Linked DNA regions of Anolis sagrei. The protein of the gene in region 1 interacts with the protein of each later gene in a pairwise test. Links are inferred from orthologs where the notes say so. Each region holds a gene or a part of one and is shown on either strand. Other genes may lie near its edges.

Evidence for each region. The genes of interacting proteins can lie anywhere in the genome.
Region 2: the proteins of CEP44 (region 1) and POP5 interact in binary tests that used the Homo sapiens proteins (3 or more experiments, as listed by UniProt). The two-hybrid records come from large-scale screens. The link is inferred for Anolis sagrei from reciprocal best matches to the Homo sapiens genes CEP44 and POP5.

Annotation. Positions count from the first base shown.
Region 1 is NC_090025.1:61,100,093-61,107,135, forward strand, and holds the start of CEP44 (centrosomal protein of 44 kDa), read left to right. Parts: upstream 1-4,019; 5' UTR 4,020-4,120; intron 4,121-4,139; exon of another isoform or gene 4,140-4,190; intron 4,191-7,043. UniProt on the Homo sapiens protein: Centriole-enriched microtubule-binding protein involved in centriole biogenesis. In collaboration with CEP295 and POC1B, is required for the centriole-to-centrosome conversion by ensuring the formation of bona fide centriole wall.
Region 2 is NC_090034.1:46,557,648-46,564,491, reverse strand, and holds POP5 (ribonuclease P/MRP protein subunit POP5), read right to left. Parts: upstream 3,002-6,844; 5' UTR 2,892-3,001; coding exon 2,872-2,891; intron 1,786-2,871; coding exon 1,643-1,785; intron 1,410-1,642; coding exon 1,260-1,409; intron 551-1,259; coding exon 467-550; intron 240-466; coding exon 136-239; 3' UTR 6-135; downstream 1-5. UniProt on the Homo sapiens protein: Component of ribonuclease P, a protein complex that generates mature tRNA molecules by cleaving their 5'-ends. Also a component of the MRP ribonuclease complex, which cleaves pre-rRNA sequences.

The DNA of each region.
Region 1 (7,043 bases):
ACATCCTTGCAGACAGCCAATTCTCTCACAACAGGAGCGGTCGCTCCTGACACGACAAAAAAAAATTAGAATTATATATTTACATTACATGTAATATTACTAATAATATTACAATATAATGGTATAGTACAATATAGTAATATATAATACTGATATTTTACTATGCTAATAATATAATATATTGTATGAAAATATATATTGTAAGGCGCTCTGAGTCCCCTTTGGGGTGAGAAGGGCGGCATATAGATGCCGTAAATAAATAAATAAATGTATTGTCGAAGGCTTTCATGGCTGGAATCACTAGGTTCTTGTAGGTTTTTTTCGGGCTATAGGGCCATGTTCTAGAGGCATTTCTCCTGACGTTTCACCTGCATCTATGGCAAGCATCCCCAGAGGTAGTGAGGTCTGTTGGAAATAGGACAATGGGTTTATATATCTGTGGAATGACTGGGGTGGGGCAAAGAGCTCTCTGCTGAAGCTAGGTGTGAATGTTTCAACTGACCACCTTCATTAGCATTTGAAGGCCTGCCTGAGCCTGGGAAAATGTTCTGTTGAGCGGTGTTAAGATGTGCCTGGTTGTTTCCTCTCTGCTGTTTTGCTGTTGTAATTTTAGAGTTTTTTTAATACTGGTAGCCAGATTTTGTTCATTTTCATGGTCTCCTCCTTTCTGTAGACTCCTGCAGAGGTGAGAGGACCCCTCTTGTCCTTTGCTGAACGTAGCATTTGTTGGATTTTCTTGGTGGGTTTGTAGATTGTTTGTATGTTATGTTTCCTCAGCTGGTAAGCTGGAGCACCTGATGAACCAGCCTGGAATAAATAAATATTTTGGGATTTTCTGCCTTGATATTTTGGGGTCCCTTCCACACAGTGGAATAAAATCCCACATTATCTGCTTTGAACTGGGTTATATGGCAGTGTGGACTCGGATAATCCAATTCAAAGCAGATACTGTGGGACTTTCTGCCTTGATATTCTGGGATGTAAAGCTGTATGGAAGGGCACTTATCAAGTCTTCAGTCCTGCCGGCACAGGCCTTTAACCCACTGCGCCAGCGGGGGCATAATAATTATAATATTGTATTATTACTACTATCTGTTTTGAACTAGGGGCCCTTCCACACAGCCCTATATCCCAGAATATCAAGGCAGAAAATCCCACAGTATCTGAGTGTGAACTCAGATAACCTAGTTCAAAGCAGATACTGTGGGACTTTCTGCCTTGATATTCTGGGATGTAGCGCTGTATGGAAGGGCACTTATCAAGGTAGAAAATCCCACAATATCTGCTTTAAACTGAGTCCACACTACCATATATTCCAGTTCAAAGAAGATATTATGGGGTTTTATTCAGCTGTGTGGAAGGGGCTTAAGTATAGAGAGATAAAGCGGAATATAAATAAATAAACAAAATAAAATCTCTATGAATTTCACAGTCTTCCTAGGCAAGGGATACATTGAGATGGGCTGCTCTGAAATATAGCCCACAGCGCCTGGTATTCCTTGGCGGTCTCCCACCCAAGCGCTCACCAGGGTCGACCCTGCTTAGCTTCCAAGACCAAACGGCTCCCGCTGCCTCCAGGCTGCTGAGGCGAGAAGAGAAAACGCGCTTTACCTGTCCGAAATTGAGTCCCAACCGCCGCCGCGACGAGTGCTGTGCCAGTCAGTGCCCAAGCTTGACAAGGAGGGTCTGGGGAGATGCGGAGGCGCTGGCGAAGCCCTGGCGAAGCGCTCGTGTCCCGCCCCAAACCGCGAGCGGCCAAAGGTGGAAGTTCCCTGCTGGAGCTCTTGAGGTTGCCGTGTATGTTGTTACCGGAAGTGACGCTCCCCTCCTCGTCCGTCGCGGAAAGCAACAGCCGATTCGCCTTCGCAGATTCCGCTGTCAATTTGAGGAGGCTTAAGCGTCCTAGGATATACTATCAGATTTTAATTTTTTAATAGCGGTGGGCCGAGCTGAGTTAAAGGTAGCTCTCCGCATAACTGAGCGTTGTTCTCAAAAAAAAATTTTTTGACAAGCGAGTGAGGTTTGACGAATCTGCCGATTGGGAAACGCCGGATGGTTTCGATTTCCCGCGGGAGAGCTCAAAACAGCTGCTCCGTCTGGGAGATAAGAGCTGTGCCTTCCCTCCGTGTGTGGAAGGGCCCCTGCCATTCCGCTGCACAGAACCTCACACTTTCTGCTTTGAACTGGAATATATGGCAGTGTGGACTCAGGACCCTTCCACACAGCCCTATATCCCAGAATACCAAGGCAGGAAATCCCACAAACTGAGTTATCTGAGTCCAAACTCAGATAATATGGAATTTTCTGCCTTGATATTCTGGGATATAGGGCTGTGGGGAAGGCCCCTGAGTCCATACTGCAATACATTCCATTTTATCTGAGTTTGGAGTCAGATAACCCAGTTTAAAGTAGATACTGTGGGATTTTCTGCCTTGATATTCTGGGTTATATGGCTGCGTGGAAGGCCCCTCAGGGTCCTTCCACACAGACATATAACCCAGAATATCAAGGCAGAAAATCCCACAGTATCTGCTTTGAACTGGGTTATCTGAGTCCAGCCCACGCTGCCAGTTCAAAAAAGATAATGTGGGATTTTATTCAGATGTGTGGGAGGCCACAGCCCCTCCCTAACAGGATCTGATCCCAAGTTTTCTGTTTTAAACTGGATTATATGAGTCCGCATTGCCAGATAATCTGGGATAAACTGAAAACCTGGGATCAGATCCTGGAATATAAGGCCTGTCTGGAAGGGCCCTGAGGTCCCTTCCCCACAGCTGAATAAAATCCCACGTTATCTGCTTTGAACTGGGATATATGGCAGTGTGGATTCAGATAAGGAAAGAATAGTTAGAGGATTTTTTTTAAAAAATGCACAAAAACTCTTGAACACAACTGTCGCTGTGATTCAGCACTGGCTTGATACTCAGGGCCCTTCTACACAGTCCCTATATGCCAGGATCTGATCCCAGGTTTTCTGCTTTAAACTGGATTATAAGAGTTCGCACTGCCAGATAATCTGGGATAAACAGAAAACCTGGGATCAGATCCTGGGATATAGGGACTGTGTGGAAAGACCCTCAGAGGTCTATAAACAGCTCACAGCCTGCGTAAGGGCTGAGTGTGGACTCAGATAATCCAGTTGAAAGCAAATATTGTGGGATTTTGTTCCTTTATATTCTAGGTTATATGACTGTGGAAGGGTCCTCAGACAGGACCTATATCCCAGAATCTGACCCCAGGTTTTTTTTTTTTGCTTTAATCTGGATTATATAAATCCACACTGTTGGATAATCTGGGATAAACAGAAAATCTAGCTTCAGATCCTGGGATATAGGGCCTGTCTGAAAAGGGCCTCAGGGACCTTCCACCAAGCCATAGAACCCAGAATATCAGGGCAGAAAATCGCACAATATCTGCTTTGAACTGGGTTATCTGAGTCCACACTCAGATGTGGGATTTCCTGCCTTGATATTCTGGGATATAGGTCTGTGTGGAAGAACCCTGGTTTATCTGAGTCCACACTGCCATATATTCCAGTTCAAAGCAGAAAATGTGGGATTTTATTCAGCTGTGTGGAAGGGGGCACAGAGGGAAGGAATAATACATTAAACTACACAGCTGTAAAACTAATGATCCAGATAATATATAAAACATATGCCTTAGGAAAAAAATATCTGATCAATACATGTAATCAAAATTATTAAACAAGGTCACACTAAAATTCCAACAAAACTTTAGATCTCCTTAACTGGTGAGCCTTTAAGGCCTTTAGCAACTTTATAAATATGCATTTACCTACATAATTAAACTGATTGGTCGCATTTATTTGTGATTTATGCCCAGTATAAGCTTGAATAATATGCATTATATTCCTGTAGTTTTTGAAATTAATATCTATCAGCCACATCAAACTTTCTTCCTTCCCAACTGTCCTTAAATGCTGGGGGCATGTGAATGAAACCTGCTCAAATCTCGGCAGAGGAAGATTTCTCGCGAGACCTCCGTGCTTTATACTCTCCCGTCCCCAAAGAATCTATGGAAGTCTCGCGATGATACGGCAAGCAACCATCGCGAGAAAGGTTTGAGTGTCGAGCGCGCCGTTCGACCCGCCGGAGGCAAGGTAGTTGAGGTGTTGTTTTGATGGGGCTCGCGTCTGTCAGTCAGGGAGTGAGTGAGTGATTCGGTGTTTGGTATGTAAAAGATGATGTGCTGTGTGCCAAATGCTCGGTGATGGCTGTGGCAGGGGCTTGCTGTCGTTAAATCTAGAAATACTGGATTCGGAGAGCCTTGTATTCCTGTCTCGCCATATGAGACGCCGGGGAACACAAACAAGACCTCCCTGTTTTCCCCGCCGGCCCATCTGTGTTCTTTGGGGCGTAATATAATAATAATAACACTTTATTTATATTCCGCCCTAATCCCAGAGGGGACTCAGAGCAGATTGCGCATATAAACAGACACAGGCAAACATTCAATATCTTGTTACAAAGAAATACAATGACACAAATACAGAGGCAAAGGCTTCTCCTTTCATTTCCGGCTCTGGAGGTGGTGCTCATCTCCGGCTCTGTGGGAGGTGCTTATCTCAATTTCCAAGCTATTTATTTATTTATCCTGTCAGTATTACATTGTATTACATTTTTAACAAACAGACAAAACAGAGTTTGCAAGCCGAGGAGTCTGCATTGTCCGTAGACACATCCTGGTCGTGTGGCTGGCATGACTGCATGGAGTGTCATTGCCTTTCCTGCTAGGTTGGCAGGAACTAGGGCTCACCCTGCCCCACGTATTCGAACTGCCAACCTTCAGATTAGTTCAGCAGCACTAGGTTTGCACAGATCATGATGATAAGGTTTGGTATTAATGTTAGGAGTGTAGACTCATATGATGGAGCTTATGGAAGAAACAGGAGCATTTATTCTTCTCCATTGTGTATTCTTCTCTATTATGTACTGGGGATCACAACCAGACACAGTGAAGACATCTGCCCTTGCACTATGCTACTCTGCTGCTGAGTATGTATGCCCAGTGTGGAACACATCTCACCACGCTAAAACAATAGATGTGGCTCTTAATGAGACATGCCGCATTATCACGGGGTGTCTGCGCCTTACACCACTGGAGTAATTACACTGTTTAGCCGGTATTGCACCACCTGACATCCGCCGGGAAGTAGCAACCAATAGTGAAAGGACCAAGGCAGTGACATCTCCAGCTCATTCCCTGTTTGGATATCAGCCAGCACGTCAACGACTTAAATCAAGAAATCGTTTTCTAAGATCTACAGAGACACTCGCTGGAATACCTCAGCAAGTGAGAATCCAAAAGTGGCAGGCTCAAACCCAGCACCTCAATCCATGGGTGATACCAGATGAGAGACTCCCCCCTGGGCACACAGAAAACTGAGCGACTTGGAAGATGCTGAACAGACTGTGCTCTGGCACCACGAGATGCAGAGCCAATCTTAAGAAATGGGGCTACAAAGTATGGAGAAGAGCAAACTACAGACCACCTCCTGCAATGCAACCTGAGCCCTGCCACATGCACGATGGAGGACCTTCTTGCAGCAACACCAGAGGCACTCCAAGTGGCCAGCTACTGGTCAAAGGACTTTTAATCAACTACCAAGCTTGCAAACTTTGTGGTTTGTTTGTTTGTTAAAAAATGCAATGCAACTGTTTGGTCTGCCCCTTACACGATAAATATGTTTGGTCTGCCCCTTACACAAATATAAATATGTATTATCTCAGATCCCAAGGATAAGAAAGTAGCTAAGTAGAAATAGGCTTAGATTGGCAGCTATTGGCAGCTATTTAGAGACTTTCCAGTGAATAGCATATGACAGGTTAATCACAGAAAAGAGACAGGCTGGCAGTGGCATAACATGGTGTTGTAGGATGGGGATCATCACCTGGCTTCAATGTCAGTTTGCCTTCCTTAAGTGATAAAGTTTCCTATTATTTTCTCTCCTTAAAACTGTATCAATTTGTGGTTAGAGCATTTGACTAGTACTCCGGAGACCCGGGTTTGAATCCCTCCTTTGGCCATGGAAGTCCAATGAGGCAAAGTCACACTCAGCCCTAGAAATCACAACACATAACAACCACAAATGTGTAGACCTGCCATGGAGAAGTGGATAAATACCATATTATCCTTTGTGTTTTGAAGCAAGAAACACCAACCCTTTGGACAGTACTAATTAAGGGTGCTTCTACATTGATAATGCAGTTTGATGCCACTTTAATTGCCATAGTTCGATGCGATAGAATCCTGGAAGTTGTAGTTTTCTGAGGCCTTTTTCCTGTTCTCACCAAGCTGCAGCTCTCAGGATTCCATATCCTTGAGCCATGGCAGTTTACAGGCCCTTCTACACAGCCATATAATACCCAGAGTATCTGCTTTCAACTGGATTATCTGGCAGCATAGACTCAGTTAATCCAGCTCAGAGCAGTTAATGTGGATTATATGATTTGATAACCTGGATTGTTTGGCAGTATAGAAGGGGCTTTCGTAGCGCCAATCTGCATTAACTCTACAGTACATGAACCTGTTGTTGTCTTAGGAGTATATTTTTAGAGGTAGCCAACGAGGCCTTACAGGAAAACAAGGTCTAAATAGCAATGCTTTCATTGCTTTAGAAAGCCTTTGGTTTTTTTTTAGAAAGTCCTCCCACCGAGGGCCCTTCCAGACAGGATCTGATCCCAGATTTTCTGCTTTAAACTGGATTTTATGAGGGCTCTTCCAGACAGGCCCTATATACAGAAGAGTCTCGCTTATCCAACCTTCACTCATCCAACATTCTGTATTATCCAACAGTCTGCTTCCTGCCTGGATTCACAGCTGTTTCAATACATTGCAATGTTTTCGTGCTAACTTAGTAAATATGATCATTATTACATAACGTTGCCATGTATTGAACTGCTTTCTCTGTCAATTTGTTGTAAAACACGATGTTTGGGTGCTTAATTTGTAAAATAACGTAATTTGATGTTTAATAGGCTTTTCCATATTATCCAACATTTTTGCTTATCCAACATTATGCT
Region 2 (6,844 bases), on another chromosome or scaffold:
TACTCTTTGTTTTTAACTTATTTTATCAACACATAAAATCAACACAGGCAAAAGAGAGTGGAGGGAGGGGTTTCACTCTTGCTGGGAAGCACCGTTGAGACTGTCTGTTATGGCTGTCTGGAGGAGAGGAGCGGCTCAATCCATCGCCGTGCTGTCCTCACTTTCATCTTTGCTCTCAAAGGATGACTCTCCTTCAAGCGCCCAGCTCTGGACTGACTCCTGGATGGCTTGTTTGTCTGCTACAACAAGTAGGAAGAAGAGCTCTCAACACACGCTGTGCTTGATACGGCTTCTCAACCAGCCCCAAATATGCCAGGGAGCCATTTGTGTAGAGGACAGCTGGCCCATCGTTTTGGATTTATTGGCAGAGATCTTACCATGTTCCATCCCCTATTAGATGGCCCTAGGTATCTTGAAACCTTGGTCTCATTTTCAGTCTGTTCCAGGAAATAAGCAGTGGATTTACCTTCACTGGTGCAATTGTCTAGCACCGACAGCAGATGGTCCTGGTTGTAATGAATTAGGAATTTCTGACAGGTGCGGATTGTGGCTGAGAAAGAACAAATCAGCAGTGTGTCAGAAACCATAGATAAGGACTCTTGGCTGAGAAGAAACAGTATGAACCCCTGTGATGTCTTGAAGGAGTAAGTTCTCTGCACTATGCAATTACAGAGCAATTAGTCTCAATTTAATGCAGTGGCTGCATCCTGTGGAGTGTGAGTTTGGCTGAGAATTCCAAATAACTGCCAATCTCCAAATGCCATGGCAGTTAAAGTGAGAGCCAAATGTTGTAACTGCGTACTGTGAAAAAAACCCCAAACTGGTTAATTGCCATAAAGTTGGGGCACACTATAACTTAACCACACAAAGACCAAATGTCAAGGCTTCAGGTGTTTTAATGGGCCAGTGATCATGCTTTTAAAAGGACTTTTTCATCAGCCACCCCAGGACTGTGAAATGACCTGCCAATAGAGCTCTGACAGATCAGCTGTCGGAATTTAGAAACCATGTAAAAACTGATCTCTTCCAGCAGGCCTACCCAGCAAGTCTTTAAGCATGAATGTTAAATGCCTGTCTTGTGTTTAATCTCTGTATTGTGTATTTTAATGTGCTTTAATAGTAGCTTTTATAGAAATACATTTTAATATGTGGTTTTGCAGTACTTTCACAATGTTTATGTTTTAGTTATTCTGTGACCTGCCTCAAGCCACAAGGAGAGGCATAAAATTATTATTATTATTATTAAAAAGAGAACTCACCTCCAATATGCAGCATATTAAATGAACAGGGATAGCGCTGGTTCTTGTTCTCTAAGTGAGTGATAAAAGGCAACGACGACCCAAGGAGCCGATAAAAGTCTCTTCGGCAACATAAGAGGACGATCCCAGTGTAGGCATTGAGGTACTTCACTGGGGGCAGAAATGAGAAGAGAGCAATGTTGCATTGGGCAGGGAAAAAGCAAAGCTTTCCTGAATGGTTTACTATCAAAAGACTCGGAAGATTTTGGGACACTTTGGGCTGCTTGCTTCATTGTTAAGTAGTTGCAGGTTGTCTTTGGTAACTGCACAAAATCGCAGACTATTGGAAGAAACTCGAGAGGAGCTTCAACTAGTTTCTCCTAAGGAAGGAGAGAGCTACCGACCTGAAAAGGCAATGGAGCAGCAGGCCAAGCCGAAGTCGCCATACATCCGGCCCACTATGTTCTTCACTGCACTGTGCACCGTGCGCTCCTCAATGAGCTGGCGGCAACGCGGGTCTTCACACAGTATCTCACAGAGGAAGTACCTGCGAAAACAAAAGGGACGGCCGTCACAGGAACTGAACAAACTAGCTGCATCCACACTAGAATGAATTACTGTTTGGGACCACTTGAACTGCAGTGGCTCCATGCTGTGGGATTCTGGGAGTTGTAGTCTGGCACATTTTGAAAAAGTCTCCCATCTTCCCTGCCAATCGACAACTGTCCTGATTCCATAGCATGGAGCCATGGCAGTCACATCAACAGCATTAATTCGACAGTGTAGATTGGAGATGGGACTCAAGCCTAAACATGGAATCAATTTCTGGTCAATATACACAGAGCCTGAAGGTCATTTTAAAATTATTATTTAAAGGATTATTATTATTATTATTATTATTATTATTATTATTATGTTCATTATGTTTATACCCCGCTTTTTTCTCTCCACAATGCAATGGCAGGGCTTAGAAAAAGTGCCTCACCTGGGTTATATATATCCTGACTGGGGGGTTCTGGGAGTTGTAGTCCCCTCAAAGGAACTTCTCCCAAATGGCCAATGGCTAGATCGAGAAGATGCTCTCCACAAGAGGTACACAAGTAGCTGAATATTTGTAAAAGATTTAAAAGACTTTTTTTTATATTTAAAATTCCCTTTTAAAACTACATCTCCCTCAATACTGTAGTTTACATTATTGTGTAAAACATATTTTATTGGATTAAAAATATATTTTAAGTAATTGCAATTATATTTGGCATGATTAAAAGTGTTACATTGGACACGATTTCAAATATTACATTTGACATGACTTCAAAGTATTTCAAATATTCTATCTTACATGATTTAAAAATATTCTATTTTGCATAATTTTAAAAGTATTCTATTTTGCATAATTTTAAAAGTATTCTATTTTACATGATTTTAATTTACTTTTAAAGCGTTTACAATCTCTAAAACAGGAAATATATTTTTACTCAACTTTTTCCGTCTGCAGTGACCATCAGGCTATATGTAGCTGAAAGAGTCTATGAAGGATATACATCAACTTCATGTTGAGACTTGGGCTACATCTACACTGGATGGTTAACACGGTTTCATCTCGTTTGAAGTGCTCCGGCTCCATGCGGCTCACCTGTTTTTAAATCTCACCATCTCTCTTCCGGAGAGCCAATGCGGCAGCTGCCGCCGGAGAAGGAAAGGCTACAGTCTCCGAGTCTGACTGGCTGAAGCGCTTAATATCCGTTAGGTTTTAACGCCCACTTCCGGAGGACCGTCGTATTCTAACCCTCGCAACTCTATGGGGGGGGGGAATCCATAGAGAAAAGATAGAAGTGACGGAACGCCTCGACTTCCGGGTTTCCTCACGCAGCTATTTCCTTCCTCTGTTGTCAGAGCGAAGGCGAGCTATGCTATCAAGGCACTTGGCTGTTCCGAAGGGGCGGGGATGACTGACGTAACGAGAAAGCCGCCTTCCTATTGGCCCGCGCGTAGCTGCATGTGCTTGGCAATCCTAACAGTGGGAACGACTTCAAAAAAAGTTTCTAAGCCGGCCGCGGCTTTTCTCCGCCTGACCAATCAACACGCGGCTCGCGCGTTGTGACCCCACCTTTCCTTGAGTTTAAATCGGATTGGCTCTGACTACCTATCCGTCTCGCGGAAACGCATTTTGATTAGTTGGCCTGACCGCACGCGCGGGAGGGAGGGCAAGGTCGAGGCTATAAAAGCGACTCTTTTTTTTTTAACCTCAGAAACAGAACGAGCTTGTGAGCCGGTCTTTGTCGCCTTGTGGTCGATAGGGGGAGCTCGCGCCGAGCTTTGAGGCGCCAAAGCGTTTCCTCCCCAAAGACGAGGGAATGCGTATTATATAAGAGCAGCACGATGGTTCTCTCAGAAAAGCAGAAATACAATACAGGGTGAGCATGCCTTACATAAGAATTCAAAAATGCTGCACTCCCAACATTTCATGTGCAAAATTATTTCAGATATTGTGAGGAAAAATACCTCAAGCGAGATGTCTATGAAGCAGGCATGGCATTCACGTCGGGGTGTCTCCACATGGTGGAATTAATGCGATTTTGGACCACTTTTTCTGTTTTTTTTTTTAAATGTTTTAAAATTATATATACATACATAGAGACATACAATCTTCGAAATTCAACAATTGAAGTACAAGTATTTTTCCCCCAATCTCACCACCTCCCCATTCCTTCCTGATAACTGCTACCCTTGACTATTATTTTTATCTATTTATTTACATCACGTATATCCCGCCCATATCAGCCCGCAGGCGACTCAGGGCGGTCTACATATCGGCACAATTCAATGCCATCAATACAATACAAAAGCAAAAACAATTAAGTGCATTTAGACAAAAAAATAACAATTTAAAAAGAGCGATATCCTCTCATTCCAATCCTCATCCGTTTCGTCGTTTTGGCCATTCCTGGGTCATTCTCCATCTCAAGCTTGACTATTCCGGGGTTCCGAATGCCTGCTCGAAGAGCCAGGTTTTCACTCTCTTACGGAAGGCCAGGAGGGAGGGGGCTGATCTAATATCCCTAGGCAGGGAGTTCCACAGCCGAGGGGCCACCACAGAGAAGGCCCTGTCTCTCGTCCCCGCCAAGCATGCTTGCGAAGCAGACGGGATCGAGAGCAGGGCCTCCTCAGATGATCTTAACTTCCTGGAGGGTTCGAACGCATCTCTTCCTACGAACCCTCCAGGAAGTTAAGATCATACCCCGCCCTTCTCCCCCCAAAGGGTGGCCTAACAAAGGCATCATACGATGCTAGCATCATAAAAACAACCACAGTACAATCAAAATATTAAAAATTAAAACAACAATTAAAACTATTAATGAAGACACATCCATTAAAATCGAAATCCAAAAACCAGTCCAGGTCAATTCATTGCCATAAGTTGTGTGATCTTCTTCCACTTGCTGCTCACTGATCAAACGCTTGGTCCCAAAACCCAGTCTTGATTTTCCTTCTGACAGACAAGAGGGAGGTGACCAATCTGATATCTCTAGGGAGGGTGTTCCATAGGCGGGGGGCCACTGCTGAGAAGGCCCTGTCTCTCGTCCCCATCAACCGTGTTTGTGATAGTGGTGGGATCAAGAGTAGGGCCTCTCCTGAAGATCTTAAACTTCGTGATGGTTCATGGCAGGAGATACGTTCGGTCAGGTAGTCTGGGCCAGAACCGTTTTGGTCTATAAAGGTTAAAAGCAGCTACTACTCTTGCTATGCTTATTATAATTGTTCAGTCATGAGGATGGTCTTATTTAATCCCTTATATCTATCTATCTATCCCCTTATTGATTATTGTTTTATTGACTATTCTAAAACCTTTGTGTGGATCATAATAAATTGTGGCAAGTTCTTGGTGGTGTGGGGATACCAAACCACCTTGTCTGTCTCCTGAGGAATCTGTATAAGGACCAAGTAGCAACAGTAAAAACAGACCACGGAACAACTGACTGGTTCAAGATTGGGAAAGGCGTTCGGCAGGGTTGTATACTCTCACCCGACCTATTCAAGTTGGATGCAGAACACATCATATGACCTGTAGCCCCCGGTGGCGCAATGGGTTAAGCCCTTGTGCCAGCAGCACTGAAGACCAACAGGTTAGAGGTTTGAATCTGAGGAGAGTGTGAATGAGCTCCCTCTGTCAGCTCCAGCTCCTCATGCAGGTAACATGAGAGAAGCCTCCTACAAGGATGATAAAACATCAAAAAACATCAGAGCGTTCCTTGGGCAATGTCCTTGCAGACGGCCAATTCTCTCACACCAAAAGCAACTTGCAGTTTCTCAAGTTGCTCTTTGTAAGTCATAACCTGCACCTTGAATTGGGACCAGAAACTTATCAGCAGGCAGTGGAGCTGTATTAATAGGCATTTCATGCACTCCCTATAATTAGCTCCAGTTGCAGTTTCTGGGCCGTCTTCAATGGCAGCCCATGTAGAGTGCATTGCAATAATCCAATCTGGATGTAACCAAGGCATGGACCACTATGGCCAAATCAGGCTTCTCGAGGTATGGCCACAGCTGGTGCACAAGCTTTAACTGTGTAAAGGCCCTCCTGGCCACCACTGACGCTTGGGCATCAAGCATCAGCACTCAGTCCAGGAGGACCCCCAAGCTGCGGACCTGTGTCCTCAGGGGGAGTGTTGCCCTGTCAAGCACAGGTTGCCACCCGATATCCTGATCGGTCTCACGACTGACTAGGAGGACCTCTGTCTTGCAGGATTAAGCTTCAGCTTGTTAGCCCTCATCCAATCCATCAAGACTGCCAGGCACTGGTTCAGGATCAGAGAGGCTTCCTTGGAATTCGGTGGAAAACAGTAGTAGAGTTTTCATCTGCATACAGATGGCACCCAACTCCAAAACTCTGGATGACCTCTCCCAGCAATTTCATGTAGATGTTAAAAAGTGTGGGAGATATAATGGAACCTTGCGGGACCCCTCAGGTCAATGGCCAGGGGTTCAAGCAGGTGTCTCCCAGTGAGTGTGATCCTCCAAGAAGAAGCAGAGCCATTGCAGAGCAATGCCCTCAAGACCCATTCTGGAGAGCTGCCTCAGAAGGATACCATGGTCGATGGTATCGAAAGCCGCAGAGATGTCCAAGAGAACCAACAAGGACACACTCCCCCGTCTCGCTCTCTGCGGAGGTCATCCACCAAGTCGACCAATGCCATCTCTGTACCTTGACCAGGCCTAAAACCAGACTGTGAAGAATCAAGATAATCAGTCTCATCCAAAAATCCCTGGAGCTGAGAAGCTACCACTCACTCTAGAACCTTGCCCAAAAAAGGAAGATTAGAAATTGGCCGGTAGTTGTTCAGTGCCAAGGAATCTAGAGACACCTTCTTTAGAATAGGTCTCACTATTTCTTTTTTAAGGCTCGATGGTATTTGTCCCTGTTCCAATGAGACATTTATAATCCCCGTAAACCACTCAGCTAGTCCCCCACTGGCAAGTTTGATAAGCCAGGAAGGGCAAGGATCTAGCATACATGTAATCGCTCTCACTATTCCAAGGATCTTGTCCATGTCATCAGTCTGAACAAGCTGAAATGAATCCATCAAACCCGGACAGACAGATGCCTT